3 linked regions of the Daphnia pulex genome follow. The protein of the gene in region 2 interacts with the protein of the main gene of each other region in a pairwise test. Links are inferred from orthologs where the notes say so. Each region holds a gene or a part of one and is shown on either strand. Other genes may lie near its edges. The genes, in order: E3 ubiquitin-protein ligase Su(dx)-like, dynamin-like and sorting nexin lst-4-like.

Region 1 (5,243 bases), on a different chromosome or scaffold from region 2:
AAAGAAAGGATCGTGAATGTCATTCCGGCCTCGATCGACCCAAATTCTGTAAAGCCGAAAGAGATTTGTCGGCCATCATCCATACCATGGCGATGAATCGACCGATAAACTTGAAATAGTGCAGGTGATCGGGATTGACGTGGGACGCCGGATTGATCTGAAGGCTGTAGTTATTCTTGTTGGCGTATTCAAAGAGGCAGTACATGGGATTTAGCACTTCGTGTGACAGCAAGAGAAACCATTCCCTGTCAAAACAAAAAAAAAATGAATAGAAAAATCAGTTTCCTCTTCAGTGTCCAATTAGCGCACACTTCAAGGGACGCAAAGGGGGTATTTAATTAATAATAATTTTACCTAGCCACTCCTCCGTAATCAAGGCCCTCCTCGCCGCGGAAAATGACGTACAGCCGCCTGCGGAGCTCGTAGGCGGGCAAGCGCATAATCTGATGGTGCGAATCTTCAAAGAGCGTCGACCGGTTGAGAGTGATCTTGATGTGTGATGGTAAGGCATTACTCTGACACAGATAGCGGAATTGAGATAGCTTCCAGCGGAATGAGCGCTCGTAAGCGATGGGAACGCCATAGGCACCTTTCGGACTGCGTCCAGCGCAATGAGGAAAAAAAAAACACAAGCAATTAACACACACAAAGCAATAAAAGCACTTTCAAGTAGCGGGCGAGCTGGATAGAACACGTTGTGGCAGTAATGATGGACAACATAATCATACCCTTTAGTTGCGCCTGGTCTAGGATCTTGGAAGGTGGTCGTCCGGGTATTGTGATCCACAAAATAATGAACACCATCGTCCGTGATTCGCATTTCCCAGCCGGGAGGCAAAGGATCTTCTTGGTTCATCCTGAAATGAATCAGAGAAAGAAAGAAATGAGATATAGATTGATTGAGGGATTTCGATGAATTGACAAGTGAGAGACACACCCCTGGGTTCTCGGATCCTCCCACTGTGTGGTGCGATTCTTGTGGTTGACAAAGTAGACCCTGCCATTAGGCTCGACACGTTTCTCCCAGCCTTCTGGCAAAGGTCCAAGCGGATCGCTCTCTTCCGTACCCGTCACCACCGCCGTTCCGGTGCTGACTCCTCCACCCTAGTTAGGAAAAAAACAACAACAACATCAATGCAAGTGACGTCACGATTAGCTCAATGATCAATGAATCAACTACCTGTGGAAATAGGAATCTCTGGCTGCACTGTTGAACAACATGCGCTCGCTGGCCTTGCCACTGTTCGTAATGTTGCAGACGTTCAACATTCGGTCTTTGCCATGTCGTCCTGGTTAATTTACAAATACGAATTAATTTAATTGAAAAAGTTGAAACCATTAAATAAACTTACGATCGAGTGTTGTGATCCACGTAGTAGGCTCGACCACGAGGGTCTCTTCTCATCTCCCATCCGGCCGGAAGAGGCTGCGGGCGCTCCCACGTCGTACTCCGCGTGTTATGATCGACGTAGTAGCGCCGGTTGTATTTATCGAAACGGACTTCCCATCTAATGAAGACAAAATAACGTCAGTTACATTTCAAATGGATGTGATACAACAACAGCATCAACTCACCCTGGCGGAAGAGGTTCTTCGGGGCCAGGTGGAGCAGCCGGAGGTGCTGTCGTGGCTGGGGTAGTTTCAGTCCTCGGAGCCGGTGCTGCCACTGTCCCGTTGGGAGTCCTGGACGGCGTCTGCTGCGGTGTTCCGTTGGGTGTCCTGGATGGAACACCAGTTACTACTGCTGGAATGGGGGCGGCTTCAACATCATTCGATCGGGTACGAGGACGAGCTCCGCCACCATTTTCGCCCGTGGTCAAATTCGTGACAGGAGCTACTGCTGCACCGTTCGTCCGGATCTCAGCGGTTGAGCTGGATTCACCTGTTTCTCCGTTCACTCTGATGATTAAAAAAATGGGAGCACACAGATTTATAATGATGAATCGCTCGCTTCCATTTGAACGCTGCACATTATTACCTCGTTGCGCTTCGACTACTGCCTGTCAACAATTTTGGATCTACCCTCATTCCGTCCATCACAATAAAAATTTCTCCAATCTTCACTTTAGAGCTGCGACCGTTAGCTGCTTCTGTCGTTGATGCAATGCTAGTATTCTTTATTTCTCCCTATTGATGCCAGAAATATTGAATAATTTTGTTTGTTTTGTGTTTTTCTAGTAATCAAGTATGAGGCTTACCTTAACATCCAGAACAAGACTGGTTTTATCAAATTTCCCTTGTTCTCGTACTAGTTGTTTTTGGATATCTATTCTGCCTTCTCCTAGAACCAAATCTCGCTTGAAAGTTGAATGACTGTAGAGCCTCAGTAGACATTTTGAATTGATTTTCACAAGACTAGAAAAATAAATAAGATAAGACACTTGCAAATGTGCTGAATCATAGCAACTGTACATACACAGTAAAGGATTCACAAGACCAAGTGGGATCATGTGTGTTCTTCACAGCCTCAGTTTTCCAAACCACTTTCCCATCAACCAAGATTTCAACATATGGTGAAGGCTTTTTTGTTATGCAAACTGGGTCAACAGTGGCCTTTAGAACTATATTGCATAAATCAGATTAGAACTTTTCCAATGTAAAGATTAAATATCAATTGCATTGAACCTGAGAGATTTAGTTGATGAAAGTGGGAGTCATTGTTGTTCCTAGAGCTTGCGCTATTGGAACTGGTTACAACAGCTGCAACAGTTTCAGCCATTTCATGGAGGTCAGACCTTGGACGTTGCTGTAGTTCAGAACTACACCAGATACTAAACTGATCTGGTGTTTTCAATACTATCAAAGCCCATAATCAGAACAGGAACCTGTAAAAAATTTAAGAGATAAGATGAGTACTGATTTTTGACGTCATCACTGATAAAGATTTTGCTATGCAAACCACTAACCTGCATCCACACTGCTACATGGAACATGAATGATGTTTCGGTGTTGAAATTAATTTATAATCTTTATAACAACCAGGCTTTAGGACTTTAGAAAAATGTCACTGTGAAGTGAAAACAGCAAAAAAATACACCTACAGGGCTCAGTTGAGTATTAGCGCGAAAGTAAAATTATCTCTTTAAAATGTCAATAAACCGAAATACAAGCAGGCAGTATAAAGATTAGAAACTCTGGTGGTATTTCCCGTTGAACGAGATAAAATTATAGCTGCAATTATAGCAAACACACAAAACACAAGTACAAGACTACAAGTCTTTGCAATAAGTCACCATTTTTTCTTGGCTTAAAACACTGTTGCCAATTTCTTCTCTTAGTGTTTTCTTCAAAGTTGTAAATATTGCCAACAGATGGATTGTATTTTTGTCTGCTAGAAAGAAAAAAAAAATAACAACAGTGCAAAATTTGCCAAAAGTCTACGATGGTCTTTGAATGTCAAAAATCACCGTACAAGAAAGAGGTTCAATAAATTTTCCTTTTTGGTATTTGTATTTTCTTATCCTATTAATGATCAGTATGGTGTTTCGTAGTTTACGAGCAAAGTCGTCTCTTGTTCGCCGTGTCAGATCGAGAGGCTCGTCCAGGGGAAAAAGGAGAAAGTACAAGCATTTGAAGTCTTATTGGAAGATACCGTTTTTTTTCCTGAAGGTGGAGGCCAGGTAATTTTTACGTTAAATTACACATCCTCATATAGAATTGGTTTTAAAAATTCAAATGTCAAAAGCCTGATGACAGAGGCTTCTTGAACGGAATCCCTGTCTTTCAAGTCAAAAGAAGAGGGAAGGATGCCATCCATTTTTTACAAGACAGCCTGGATGTTGGGACTCTAGCTACAGGTGTCATTGATTGGGAGAGAAGGTGGGATCATATGCAGCAACACTCTGGGCAGCATCTAATCACTGCAATTGCTGATGCTTCATTTGGTTTCAAAACAACATCTTGGTGGCTTGGGGAATCTGTTTCCCATATTGAATTAGGTAAATTTTTCCTTCTTAACTTTGTGTTCAGAATTTTCTGTAGCATCATTGATTGACACTTAATATTAAATTACAAGATACTGTAAATCTGACTGATGCCCAACTAAAAACCATTGAAAGCCAAGTGAATGAGAAAATCAGGGAAGCTGTCTCTGTGGAAGTAAAAGTATACGAAGGAGATGCGATACCCGACCAAGTAAGAATTTTACTTTAATTGACATTAAAGTTAAATTAAAGAAAACCATATTGGGTTCGTAGGTCCGTTCTAGAGGTCTTCCCGATGACCACGTTGGTCCTGTTCGCGTCGTAACTATTTTAGGTGTAGACAGCAACATGTGTTGTGGAACTCACGTTTCCAACCTTAGTCATTTACAGGTATTGTACGCAGTTTACTACCCCCAATAGTACAAGCAATAATTAACCATCGATTAAAATACTTCATTTAGTTCATAAAGCTGCTTTATGCTGAAAAGGGTAAAAAAAATAAGACCAACCTCTTCTTTATAAGTGGAAATCGAGTGCTAGATTACATCAATCGTTCACTTGACAGGGAGCGCCAGTTGACTAAAATTCTGAAGTATGAAATGCTTAAAATAATTGTTGAAATGACAAGTGATTAACTCATTTGCTCGTTTCAGAAACGGACCTGAAGATCATGTCGATTTAGCTAATAAATTACAAGCCTCAGTAAAGTTATCACAAAAGGTAAAACAACTTTTGAACTTCTCCGTATCCTAATCGACTGTAGATTAATTTAAAAATTTTCTTTTCTTTTAAGACTTTGCAAACTTTGATGAAAGAATTAGCTGTCAATCAGGCAGAGAAAATTAAAACCGAGAAACCGAAATTTTCGATTGTTCACCGCAAAGACGGCGATGCCGATTATGCAAGTGCTCTAATTTCAGAACTGGCTTCTGAGGTATCTAGATTATTAGTTTTTAATTGTCCTTATTTAACATTAAAATTTTCTTTTTAATATTCTCTCTTTAGGACATCACATTACTTATTACTGTGGGAGAAGATAACAACGGGCAAATGACTCTTATTGGTCAAGAGGATGTGGTCAGCTCTCTTGGTCCAAAGTACGTTCCATTGCGACAGAGATCTCCTTATCGGAACAAACTTTTTAAAACTAACTCGCAAATATTTGGTTTTAGAATTTGCAGTTGTTTAGCCGGAAAAGGCGCCGGCAAGGGTAAAAGATTTCAAGCCAAGGTTACGCAACTCAATCCATCAGCACGGCAAGAGGCGGAAACGATCCTTCGTGATTACTTCCAGTGAGAAACAAGACATCGGTGCAATTAA
Region 2 (5,243 bases):
AAACCGAGACCTAAGGAATAATACCGGCATGATTAAAGAAAATCTTACATTAATTACGGGGAAGCGGCATTACTAACCATCGATATCCTCAACGTCATCGGCCCAACTGGATTTAACTCTGAAATCATATCAAGATTGTGTTGTATTTTTAATATTTGCACATTAATTTGTCTCATTTCACTTACTCATTATCAGCAACCGGCATTTTTCTTGGAGAAGATTGATTACGTCAAGTAAATAATCAAAAAGTAGAAAATTCACTGCTATTGCAGAAATGTGTCAGCAAGCAGCCATTAGAACGTGTGTAGAGCGACATTGCCAGTTTTGAAAAATTCATTTCGTAATTTTGACTGCTTTTACAATTTCGTCTGCTCTTCTTCGAATACAATCCCGCCGTTTATGAGATTCCGGCACGTGGAACTCGAATACAGCAAAAATGGCTAGCTTACCACAGAAAAAATATTATCGACAAAGAGCACACTCCAATCCTATCGCAGATCACTGTTTTGACTAGTGAGTATCTTATTTCCAGTTTTCGATTTATCATTAAGTCATTTTCTAACCCAATTTGTCGTTTGAAGTCCTGTCTCTCCCAATGACATGAAATGGGATGAGCTCTATCCTACATTCAGCAAAGATGGAATAATGAAACACAAAGTTCAGTTTGCTGATATTGGATGTGGCTATGGCGGTTTATTGAGTATTTTTATCACATTTTGCCAATAAAATATGTGGAAAATTAATTTTGTATTTTTTTTTAACAGTATCATTATCCACCATGTTCCCAGAGACTTTAATGTTAGGAATGGAGATTCGTTTGAAAGTTTCAGAATATGTCCAGGATCGCATAAAGGCGTTGAGGATTTTGCATCCAGGTGATTACGGAAATGTTGCCTGCTTAAGAAGCAATGCCATGAAGTACTTACATTTATTTTGTTCATTTACTTGGGCATGTTTGCTTAATTTATTCTATGCTACTAGGTACCTCCCTTGCTTTTTCGATAAAGGACAATTGACAAAAATGTTTTTCCTCTTCCCTGATCCTCATTTTAAGAAGGCCAAACACAAGTGGCGTATTATCAATGACACTCTCTTGGCTGAATATGCCTATGTTTTGGCTGAAGGGGTAAGTAGGCAGGCCTAGAACGGCCCTTCTTTAGCTACTTGATGTAGATATCTTGTGTGATTAATTAAATTTTACTTTAGGGTTTGGTTTACACAATTACTGATGTTAAAGATCTTCATGAATGGATGGTTATGCATCTAGACCAACATCCATTATTTAAGAGACTAACCCAGGAAGAGCTGGTTAGTTATACTTTATAATTAAATAGCTATAAAACTACAAATTCTTTTTGCGGTATCAGGATCAAGACATTGTAGTTCCAAAACTGTACGAATCAACGGAGGAGGGCAAAAAAGTCACGCGAAATAGTGGTGATAAATTTCTTGCTGTATTCAGAAGAATTCCTGATCCATTCGTACTTGAAGAAAACAAGTGCTAATGTATACAAATTTGTTTGCCGGTTCCCTGCTCGTCACTTGTATTGCTCCCAATGGAACTGTTTGCTGGAATTCACATAATCAACCAGCTTTAAGCTGCCATTCAAAATAGGTGACCCACGTTTTATGTATGCATCGCCCATGCGCAGAACAGACAAATTTTCCAAGATCAATAGTTGTTGACAAAGAACTCATAAGGTATGTACGGTATTTTGTAACTGAAAAGGGAGCGCGCGCAAACGTGTCAAATGACGAATGGGCACTTTGAATTAAAGTTTCATGGAAATAAATTTAACATTCTCTTTTTTGGCAATCCATTTGTAGATCTGTTTGACTGAAGGGTCTTTTATGAATGATTTCCTGATTTGTAATGTTTCTAGTTTTCAAAGGGATTAACTTGTATCTTTTTGTGGAGCTTGAGTTCTTATTGATTCATTTGCTCATACGATCGATACGTTCAATAATCTGCTTCATAGAGAAAAAAAAAATCGTGTTAAGTTTCCGTCGTCTACGTATCGACCATGTGTCAGCTGACGATTTCATGGGAAGCAAAGGAACGTGGAAAAAAAACGTCACCATCCATCCTTTCAACTTATTGTTATTCGTGTTGAATACCATTTTGTAAAAATCTTAATCGAATTAGGCGCGTAGGAATTCTGCGACGCTGTGAAAATGGGATGGGTTGAAACTCGGGGAGCGTGGCATAAATGTAATTTCACTAAGCCGACTAAGTGACTAAGACGAGATTGCATCACTGATAGTGATGTTTATTGTTATAGGATGTGAAATCCTAGCAGGCGGTAGATGAAAGAATATATAAGGAAATAATATTCCGATGAAAATTTATGGTGCGCATCAGCGTGACCCATTTGTGCTGCGTAATATGATTTCCTGCAGTTTTATTTTGTTTGAAATATTTAAACACTTGACGGATGGGAAACACTTGAATATGTTCGGCTCCGGTCCGACGGCTTTTCGTCTTATAGAAATTTCTTCGATCCCCGAGTCAATATTGGGACACTTTCCGATGCGGTTGTGCAATCGGCCGCTGTGTGGCGTATCTCACAGTCTATGCAGCCATGTTGAGTTGGCCTGGCCATATTCGAGCCAGTTCGTGCTATGAGAGACGGTGCTGGTGCGCTCTCTCCAACCGCTGTCATTCTCTACCCAACGTCAAACACGGTTCCACCGACAGTATTGTGGCTGAAAAAAGATTAACCAACTCCCTGAAAGTCTTCTTGTGTTTTTTTGTGAATTTCGTTTCATTGTGCAATCCTCTCTGTGGTCCGCCATAGTGGGGAAGTTCCCGACTGGTCCGAGTTCTTTTTGTAACGTTAGGCTCGACCGTCGAAAACACCATCGAAAATGGCAGGCAATCAGGGAATGGAATCCCTTATTCCTCTCGTGAATAAATTGCAAGATGCCTTCACTTCGTTGGGGGTGCAAATGTCTCTTGACCTACCCCAAATTGCTGTTGTGGGTGGGCAAAGTGCAGGAAAAAGCTCTGTGCTGGAAAATTTTGTTGGCAGGTGGGATTAATTTCGAGAAACCTCCCCTTTGTTTTCTCATAACTCATTGTTTTTTCACTTGTGCAGGGATTTCCTACCTCGTGGCTCTGGCATTGTCACTCGACGTCCCCTTATCTTGCAGCTGATCAACTCTCCTCAGGGTAAGTAACTTGGCAAATGCAATACATGTTATATCTGTGAGTAATAATCAATATGTTTGAACTTTCAGAATATGGAGAGTTTTTGCACTGCAAAGGAAAGATCTTTGCTGACTTTGATGAGATTCGTAAGGAAATTGAGGCAGACACTGACCGATTAACTGGTACCAACAAAGGAATATCCAACTTGCCCATCAATTTGAGAGTATACTCTCCTCACGGTAAACCAATTTTACTTCACAAGTCCAACTTTACTTACAGAAAAGTTTAGAGTTTGATAATGGTTATTTATTTAAGAATTTAAAATGTCACACAATTGAACTAGACTTTGGGAGGGTTTAACGGCGTTATTAAAACACCATTACAAGTAATGGTGGTGGCCAAAACATGTCGCCAAGTTCTTTCCCTTGTCTAAATCTTCCGACCCATCACTACTCACACTGGAGTATACGTCCACATATAGAAAAGTGTGCAGTCCCGAGCATTGCTCGGGATGAACGGATCAATACCTCCTGCCCGCTGCGAGAGATTGGCACTATACAAAAAAGAGGAAAAATAAGGAACCCCCCTCGTTGGTCGACCACATTTCCATGATTCTTGCATCATCGATCATTCTCTCTTATGTAGCCAAAGAACCGCCTCATCACCCCCCGTCCGACTAGGCTCCCCACGACGACTTGATCGACAGACTAAATAGTTGAGAGAGTAATTAGATTGGGTACCACCTAGAGGGGAAGCCTCCCGTCGACTCAACACACTCGTATGAATGAATCCAGCCATTGCTCTGCCTATACGACAACCGGAGTAGCATTTGAAATAGCCATTAAAAATGTTAAACTTTAGTATTGTGGACTGGGGTTTATTTTTCCGGGAAAAAACCCAAATTCTGTATGTCTTCCGTCTCGAGGGTATACGCGGTTTTGTATGTATCGTGTATGTGCGCGCAAAAGAGGGGCCCTCTCAACTGTGGGAGGATCGAGGCTGGTCTGATCGATACGGCCGTTTGCCGTCTCCTAGGAAGAGAATGAGCAGGAAAAAAGGGAGAAATAACGTAAGAGTTTTTCTTTTCTCGTGCAGCACCACTCACAACAACAACAAAAAAAGAAGAAGAAAGATTACTCTTATTCAGATGCTGCTACACTCGCCCATCACACCGTAGTTTCGTTGTGGATTGGTCGCCATGTTGTGTCGATGCCTCTACAAGAAAAACTTTTCTCTTTTTTTTTCCCAAGGAATTCGCATAAGTTTTTCCCTTTTTTTTTGGCGCCATTGACAATCAATAGGAAAAGAAGCTGAGTCTTCTGGTCGATATTAACCTCAAGAGAGCAAAAGGGAACAGATGGGATGAAAGAAGGAAAAACAAATTGAGGATAAGACTCACACAAAAGTTTTTGCTCTTTTTCTCAATTCTTACCGAAAGATGTCTTATCTAGGCCGGTTATAGTGGAACGAATATTTGATCTGGTAAACTGACCTCTTGAGGCACGCACCGAGTCCGAGCGCTTCCCCCCCGCAATATAATGTAATAAAAGAATGCCATTGACCGGAATCTTCTTACGAGCCATTCGTGTTTTTTTTTTTTCGGAGGGCTTTTTCAATAATAAAATAACTCCCACAAACTCACGACTGTTGCGTGTGTGTGTATGTAGTGCTGAACATCACCCTGATCGACTTGCCCGGTCTGACCAAGATCGCTGTTGGCGATCAGCCTTTGGACATCGAGGCTCAAATCCGAGACATGATTTTTCAATTCATCACCAAGGAGACTTGCCTTATCCTGGCAGTCACTCCTGCCAACATTGATTTGGCTAATTCGGATGCCTTGAAATTGGCCAAGGAAGTGGATCCCGATGGTATTTCACATTGCGAAATTATCAGCACGAATACTTGGCAGCTTCTGTATTTATGAATGGGCCCCCCTCGTGTAAATAGGCTTGGCGTGTGTGGGTTCTTTTTTTAGTTAGTTATGTAATGAATGATGATCGCATGTCAAGAGTTTCTTTTTTATTATTTTTATTTTATTTTTTTACCGCTTTTTGTTTTCGTGTTGTAGTTCTTAATTTGACCCTGATTG
Region 3 (5,243 bases), on a different chromosome or scaffold from region 2:
CGTGTACGATTTATCAACCGTTGCTTGTCGCTAAGGATACCCTCAATTTGTTTCAAGATAGATTGATCAAAAGCCCCAAATCCGGCTTTGCTTCCAGACCCCGTTCTCCCTGATGCTAATCTTGTTTTTTCATTCCACATGTTCAGTGTACGATGCCAAAAACCGCGCAATTTTTCGTGTCTTTCTCCAATCTCGGATTCATATCCGACTATTTTTTGTTTTTTGCGCTTTGGTCCTCCATCATCAATGTCCTCGTCGTCTTCTCCAGCTTCTTCGTCAGTGTCACTTGGAATTTCTTCATCACTATTTGACAAGGAAACACTTTTAAATTTTAATTAATGCCTTTTAAACTGAAAAATTAACATTTAATACCTGCCCTCTTCGTTAGACTTTCGTTGCGTTAATGCTTTTGTTTGTGGATTAGATTTAAGAAGAAGCTCCTGAATTTTTAATTTTTTTATTATTTTAAGTAATTTAAAATACAATAAAACAGGAATTACCTCTAGCTCAAGGCAGTTGTCCAATAATGATTTAATAGCTGCCTGAGCACCTTGACCTGCTGCAACAAAATGGTTTTCTCCACTTGCTTTAGTAAAAAGCTTGTAATTTGAAGGAGCTTGAGGTAACTGATTACATAAATTTATTCCTTTATGCATCTTTATACGACACTCAAGAAGATGATCCCATAATGAGAGTTGATTTTGGATAGATTTTCCCTTGTTTATATCATTATCATGAGAATTTTTTGACATTTTTTTAACTTTTTCATTTTCTTCTCCTTCACTGTCATCTACACTTCCAATGTCTCCTTCCTCTTCTTCCTCCTCTTCTCCCTCCTCTTCACCCTCCTCTTCACCCTCCTCTTCACCCTCCTCTTCACCCTCTCCTTCTTCAAAATCAGCTTCTTCGTCATCTTCAGATTTATTCAATTCACTTTCATTACTATCTTCTTCATGAATATCAGATTTCAATGAACCACTTTCGTCTTCTGATTCCTGGAAGATGTTGGGTTTCTCTGATTTGTTGTTTGTTTCTTTCATGAATTTGTTCTTAAATTCCAGAATATTTTCTTCCCCACTTTCATTATCAGATTCTAAAGATGACTCAGAACTTTTGTAGCCTTCTCCTACAGGAGAATTTAGATCTTTGCGACTGACACGCTTCCCAGCATATCGGCTATCTGAAACAGCTAATAATTCCACATTCTTTTGGCGTAGATTAGATTTATTTTTTGGTGCTTTATTCTTAACCACCTGAGTGTTATCATACGACTCATATTGGTCATCAAAGGACTCCAGCCTTGCTTTACTTTCTAGAAAGATTAGAAACACTTTAAGAAAAACAAGTAGGTGTTATTTTGTTTCAATTTGTTACCTTCGTTATATTCATCTTCTGGATCAGCAAACTGAGGTGTTGGATTGGCAAGTTCGGCTAATCTTTCACTTAGGGATTTGCCTTTCGACATTTCATAAATAAATGTTTCACAATGTATACATTTAAGTTTCAGTATTCTAAAATAATTGATACCGCGTGTCGCGTGTTTTACTACCAATACACGTTGCAGACGAATTCGAACAATCGTACTTCTTTTGTTTTTCTTTCAAACCAATGCAGTTAATATCTTTCTACAGTAGATGGCATTACTTACTAGACAGAAGAAACATTAGGGCCTTAAAATGTCACTCGGGTCTCAGATTTTGTAACTTATCGTTTGGTTTCAGATTCAGCTCTGCTCATCACTGACTCATTCCTCTCAGCTGTTATTAGGGGGCGAGACGAAATCAGTTTGACAGCACACAGCAGCAGGGGTATTGTAAAAAGCTGAGTTTTTATTCTTCGAGATGGCTGGTCAGGTAACTTTTGAGTTTTGATTCCGGTTTTTCTAATTATCAGTTTCGTCTTCTAGTTAGAACTATAAATTTTCTCACTCCTGTAACTGCTGTTACCATTTCATTAACCATATCCGGTTTCGAAACCAGTTTAATTTACAAAATGAATCGTTTTTCTAGGCGCGCGTCCTTTATGATTTTGAAGGCCAGCCTGGCACATCTGAACTATCTATTGTTACTGGTGAAGTTCTAACTGTCACTAGTAAGGATGTTGGTGAAGGATGGTGGGAAGGTAGTAATCAACGTGGAGTTAGTGGAATATTTCCTGCAGCCTACGTTGAGGTATGAATTTCTTCCTACTCCTGTTATGTCATGCATGCTAGTGTAAAACCAGAAAAGAATTTTGTATCATTTGGATTTTTCTGTATTAATAACATGTAAATTGAATTATTTTAAACCTCAAAAAACCATTTTATTGTATTAATTCAACAGGCTATTGAACAAAATTACAATGCACCTCCTGCTATGCCTCCTCCTCCATTGCCCCAGATATACGTAGAGGAAAATGTAGCTCCAGCGATTCAACAGCAACAATCACAGGTATTCCAAAAACATTGTGGAGATTCCTGGTAACTGTATTAATAAGGTATTTTCAATCTACTTCCAGTACGACGATGATTGGGATGACGACTGGGATGATGACGTTTCTGAAGCCAACCAAGGTAGCAATCCGGGAAACCCTGCTGCAGGTGGGAGAAGCAATAGCGACGTTGGTAGTGCGCTTGATGTCAACATGGCAGGGTTGAAATTGGGAGACGGTAAAGGAACCGTTCGTAAAAATTTGAACCGGTTTTCTCACTTCGTTAAAACTGGCGGAGAAGCTTACATTCTGGGGGCAAACAAAGTGACGTCCACTGATAGTGACCAAATCCACATCATCGAAACCAACAACGGTATCACATGGGCTCCGAATCCTCAACCTTACTCGTGTGTAGTGGCTTCACCAAAGAAAGAATCAAAATTGAAAGGTAATATTTTTACAACCTAGTCGACTAATTTTTAAATATAATTTAATGTGTCAACTTGTTTCTATGTTTTCATCGTAGGCCTAAAAAGTTTCATTGCCTACCAGTTGACACCGTCGTTAAACAATATCCAGGTTTCTAGGCGATACAAACATTTCGATTGGCTTCACGAAAGACTTGTGGAAAAATTTTGCATCATTCCCATTCCTCCCCTTCCAGACAAGCAAATTTCTGGTGATTTCTTATATTTGTAGAATTTTTGGTTGAAGTCGATTTGCTGAACTTGTGTACTTAAAATAGGTCGGTATGAAGAACAATTTATCGAGCGAAGACGTCTACAGTTGCAATCATTTGTTAGCCGTGTGTGTGACCACCCAATTCTCTCACGCTCCGATGTCTGGTTGCACTTTTTAACGTGCACAGATGCCAAACGATGGAAAACGGGCAAGCGGAAAGCTGAAAAAGACGAAGTAATTGGCGCCGCAATCTTTGGTGTTGTACAAGTACCAGAAAAGTCGCTTGACCCACTACAACTGTAAGTTTTTGTTGTTGTTTTTTTTTTTTTCAACTGTTTATTTGATCGCTTTTACATTTTTCTTGATCATAGTGACTCTCAGACCGAAGCTTTTGGGCGTTTCGTGCAGTCGTTTGATACAGCTGTCCGCATGATGCAAAGCAACTTTGCCGAACAAGTAAAACGGCAGCAAGGTCCATATAAACGCGACTATCAACGTGTTGGCCAATCATTCAGGTAGGTTTCAAAGAGAAGTGCTCCGCCCTTGTATTGTTGTTAACCAACTGTTTGTCTCTGTAGAACTCTTGGCACGGCTATGGAATTGCTAGAGACAGCTCCTCTGACCAGAGCACTTTCCCATACTGCTGACACGTATGATCAGATAGCTCTTCTTTGTGAGGACCAACCACGATTGGATTTCGAGCCGATGGGAGATTTACTACACGATTATCGTGGACTACTTGCCTCATTTCCCGACATCATTACCGTCCACAAGGTAACCCAGCAATTTCGGCAATTTTTAAAACAATACTAATTTTTAATTTATAGGGGGCCCTTCAAAAGCGGCGCGAGTTGGAACGCTCCGCATCTGAGGGTAAAACGGAAAGCACCGTTGTAGTTCGTGCTCAACAACGAACAGATGTTGTTTCCTACACGCTACTGGCTGAAATGTCCTATTTCCATCAACAACGTGTTCACGATTTTAATGCAGCCGCAAAAATCTTCCTACAGGAACAGATCACTTACTATCAAAAGGTTATTATTTATTTTTCCTTTTTTTTCTTTTTGCAACTTCTCTACTAATACCAGATGTTTGAAATGTATTTCATTTAGATTGTCGATCATCTGCAGTCCACCTTATCCCAGTACAAGGATGTCTAAGAAAAAACAACAACCGCAGTACTCGGATTTTAAAAGTCGCATTATTTTTTTTTAATTCCATTCCTTCATGCGAATGAACGAAGTTTCTCCTAATTACTTTGGAATCCTGGCCGCCACGGATTTTATCTTTTGTTTTCTTTCTTACGGGAAACATTCCCTCAGATGGTTTGAAAATAGTCGCATGTTAAAATTCTTTTTGCTTACTTTGTTGTTTCGCTTTTTCTTCTACGTAGCTACGTTGTCTATCTTCATGAGCGGGCAACCGATTTACGAAGCCATTCTTCCAAATTGGCAAGAACGAAGGCTATCAAGTGCAAACAGTGTCATAGTCAGACTGTGTTTCTGTGTGCAGCTCACTGCCGAGTTTTCGTTACACGAGAGTTGTCGTTATTCAGAGAGAAACGGTAGAGTTGTGTAGATGAGAAAAATGGTTTAACGTGCACATTGCTCGCGAGTCTTAAAAGTTTATGTGCTGTTAATAAGTTGAGAAGCACAAGAACCATAACAGTGAGCTTCTATGTCATTTACATTTTCCTATTCAATTGTCATTCAAGTTTGTCATCTCCATCGATGGTGCGCTTAGCCAGCCTTACTTTTCAAATGGTACGGAATACATAAAATTTGTATCGATAATATCATAACCTGACAGAATATTGTGTATGAATTTTTATTAATGATTAGCCGGTGAAAAAGAAGAACAATTATGTGAGCCTAGAATTGATACAGTCATAGTCATTTACACAACAATGAGCAGAAGAAAGCGTGAAGAGCCTTAAGGCTACTACTGCCTTTTGATGGATTCGATGAAGTGTGGAATGAAAATCTATTGGATCGGCTGGACTCCAACAACATTAGTCCCGTTAAGCGTCTTTTCGGGGTTTGACTTCCGCCATCTTGAGTCGCTGCTGGCGCCTAACAGCCCGTGTGCGGATGGAAAAGAGACCGTACCAGGCGACGCGTTCAACGACCGGTCGCACGAAACTCAGTGCCACG

The links.
Region 1: the proteins of dynamin-like (region 2) and E3 ubiquitin-protein ligase Su(dx)-like interact in binary tests that used the Caenorhabditis elegans proteins (3 or more experiments, as listed by UniProt). The link is inferred for Daphnia pulex from reciprocal best matches to the Caenorhabditis elegans genes dyn-1 and wwp-1.
Region 3: the proteins of dynamin-like (region 2) and sorting nexin lst-4-like interact in a two-hybrid assay, tested with the Caenorhabditis elegans proteins (2 studies listed by BioGRID). The link is inferred for Daphnia pulex from reciprocal best matches to the Caenorhabditis elegans genes dyn-1 and lst-4.

Annotation. Positions count from the first base shown.
Region 1 is NC_060026.1:2,733,372-2,738,614, reverse strand, and holds the start of E3 ubiquitin-protein ligase Su(dx)-like, read right to left. Parts: upstream 3,259-5,243; 5' UTR 2,907-3,258; intron 2,826-2,906; 5' UTR 2,720-2,825; coding exon 2,626-2,719; intron 2,562-2,625; coding exon 2,417-2,561; intron 2,356-2,416; coding exon 2,199-2,355; intron 2,128-2,198; coding exon 1,979-2,127; intron 1,900-1,978; coding exon 1,576-1,899; intron 1,509-1,575; coding exon 1,353-1,508; intron 1,290-1,352; coding exon 1,181-1,289; intron 1,105-1,180; coding exon 938-1,104; intron 858-937; coding exon 729-857; intron 598-728; coding exon 355-597; intron 246-354; coding exon 86-245; intron 1-85. Other genes in the region: alanyl-tRNA editing protein Aarsd1-B-like, read left to right, coding at 3,383-3,421, 3,492-3,620, 3,686-3,938, 4,016-4,134, 4,197-4,313, 4,385-4,515, 4,577-4,643, 4,717-4,857 and 2 more. UniProt on the Caenorhabditis elegans protein: E3 ubiquitin-protein ligase which accepts ubiquitin from an E2 ubiquitin-conjugating enzyme in the form of a thioester and then directly transfers the ubiquitin to targeted substrates. Ubiquitinates klf-1.
Region 2 is NC_060023.1:11,179,158-11,184,400, forward strand, and holds the start of dynamin-like, read left to right. Parts: upstream 1-2,572; 5' UTR 2,573-2,868; coding exon 2,869-3,032; intron 3,033-3,098; coding exon 3,099-3,172; intron 3,173-3,240; coding exon 3,241-3,390; intron 3,391-4,818; coding exon 4,819-5,022; intron 5,023-5,222; coding exon of another isoform or gene 5,223-5,243. Other genes in the region: eukaryotic translation initiation factor 3 subunit G-like, read right to left, coding at 1-10, 78-118, 186-205; tRNA (guanine-N(7)-)-methyltransferase-like, read left to right, coding at 437-513, 582-700, 765-918, 982-1,126, 1,207-1,308, 1,368-1,505.
Region 3 is NC_060028.1:5,995,290-6,000,532, reverse strand, and holds sorting nexin lst-4-like, read left to right. Parts: upstream 1-1,654; 5' UTR 1,655-1,841; coding exon 1,842-1,853; intron 1,854-2,009; coding exon 2,010-2,171; intron 2,172-2,321; coding exon 2,322-2,429; intron 2,430-2,496; coding exon 2,497-2,857; intron 2,858-2,935; coding exon 2,936-3,088; intron 3,089-3,154; coding exon 3,155-3,389; intron 3,390-3,461; coding exon 3,462-3,605; intron 3,606-3,668; coding exon 3,669-3,864; intron 3,865-3,917; coding exon 3,918-4,124; intron 4,125-4,202; coding exon 4,203-4,250; 3' UTR 4,251-4,883; downstream 4,884-5,243. Other genes in the region: protein AATF-like, read right to left, coding at 1-303, 373-440, 501-1,312, 1,375-1,465; very-long-chain 3-oxoacyl-CoA reductase-B-like, read right to left, coding at 5,111-5,243. UniProt on the Caenorhabditis elegans protein: Involved in the signaling of vulval development by acting as a negative regulator of epidermal growth factor receptor (EGFR) signaling. Aids in phagosomal membrane tubule formation which is required for phagosomal fusion with endosomes and lysosomes.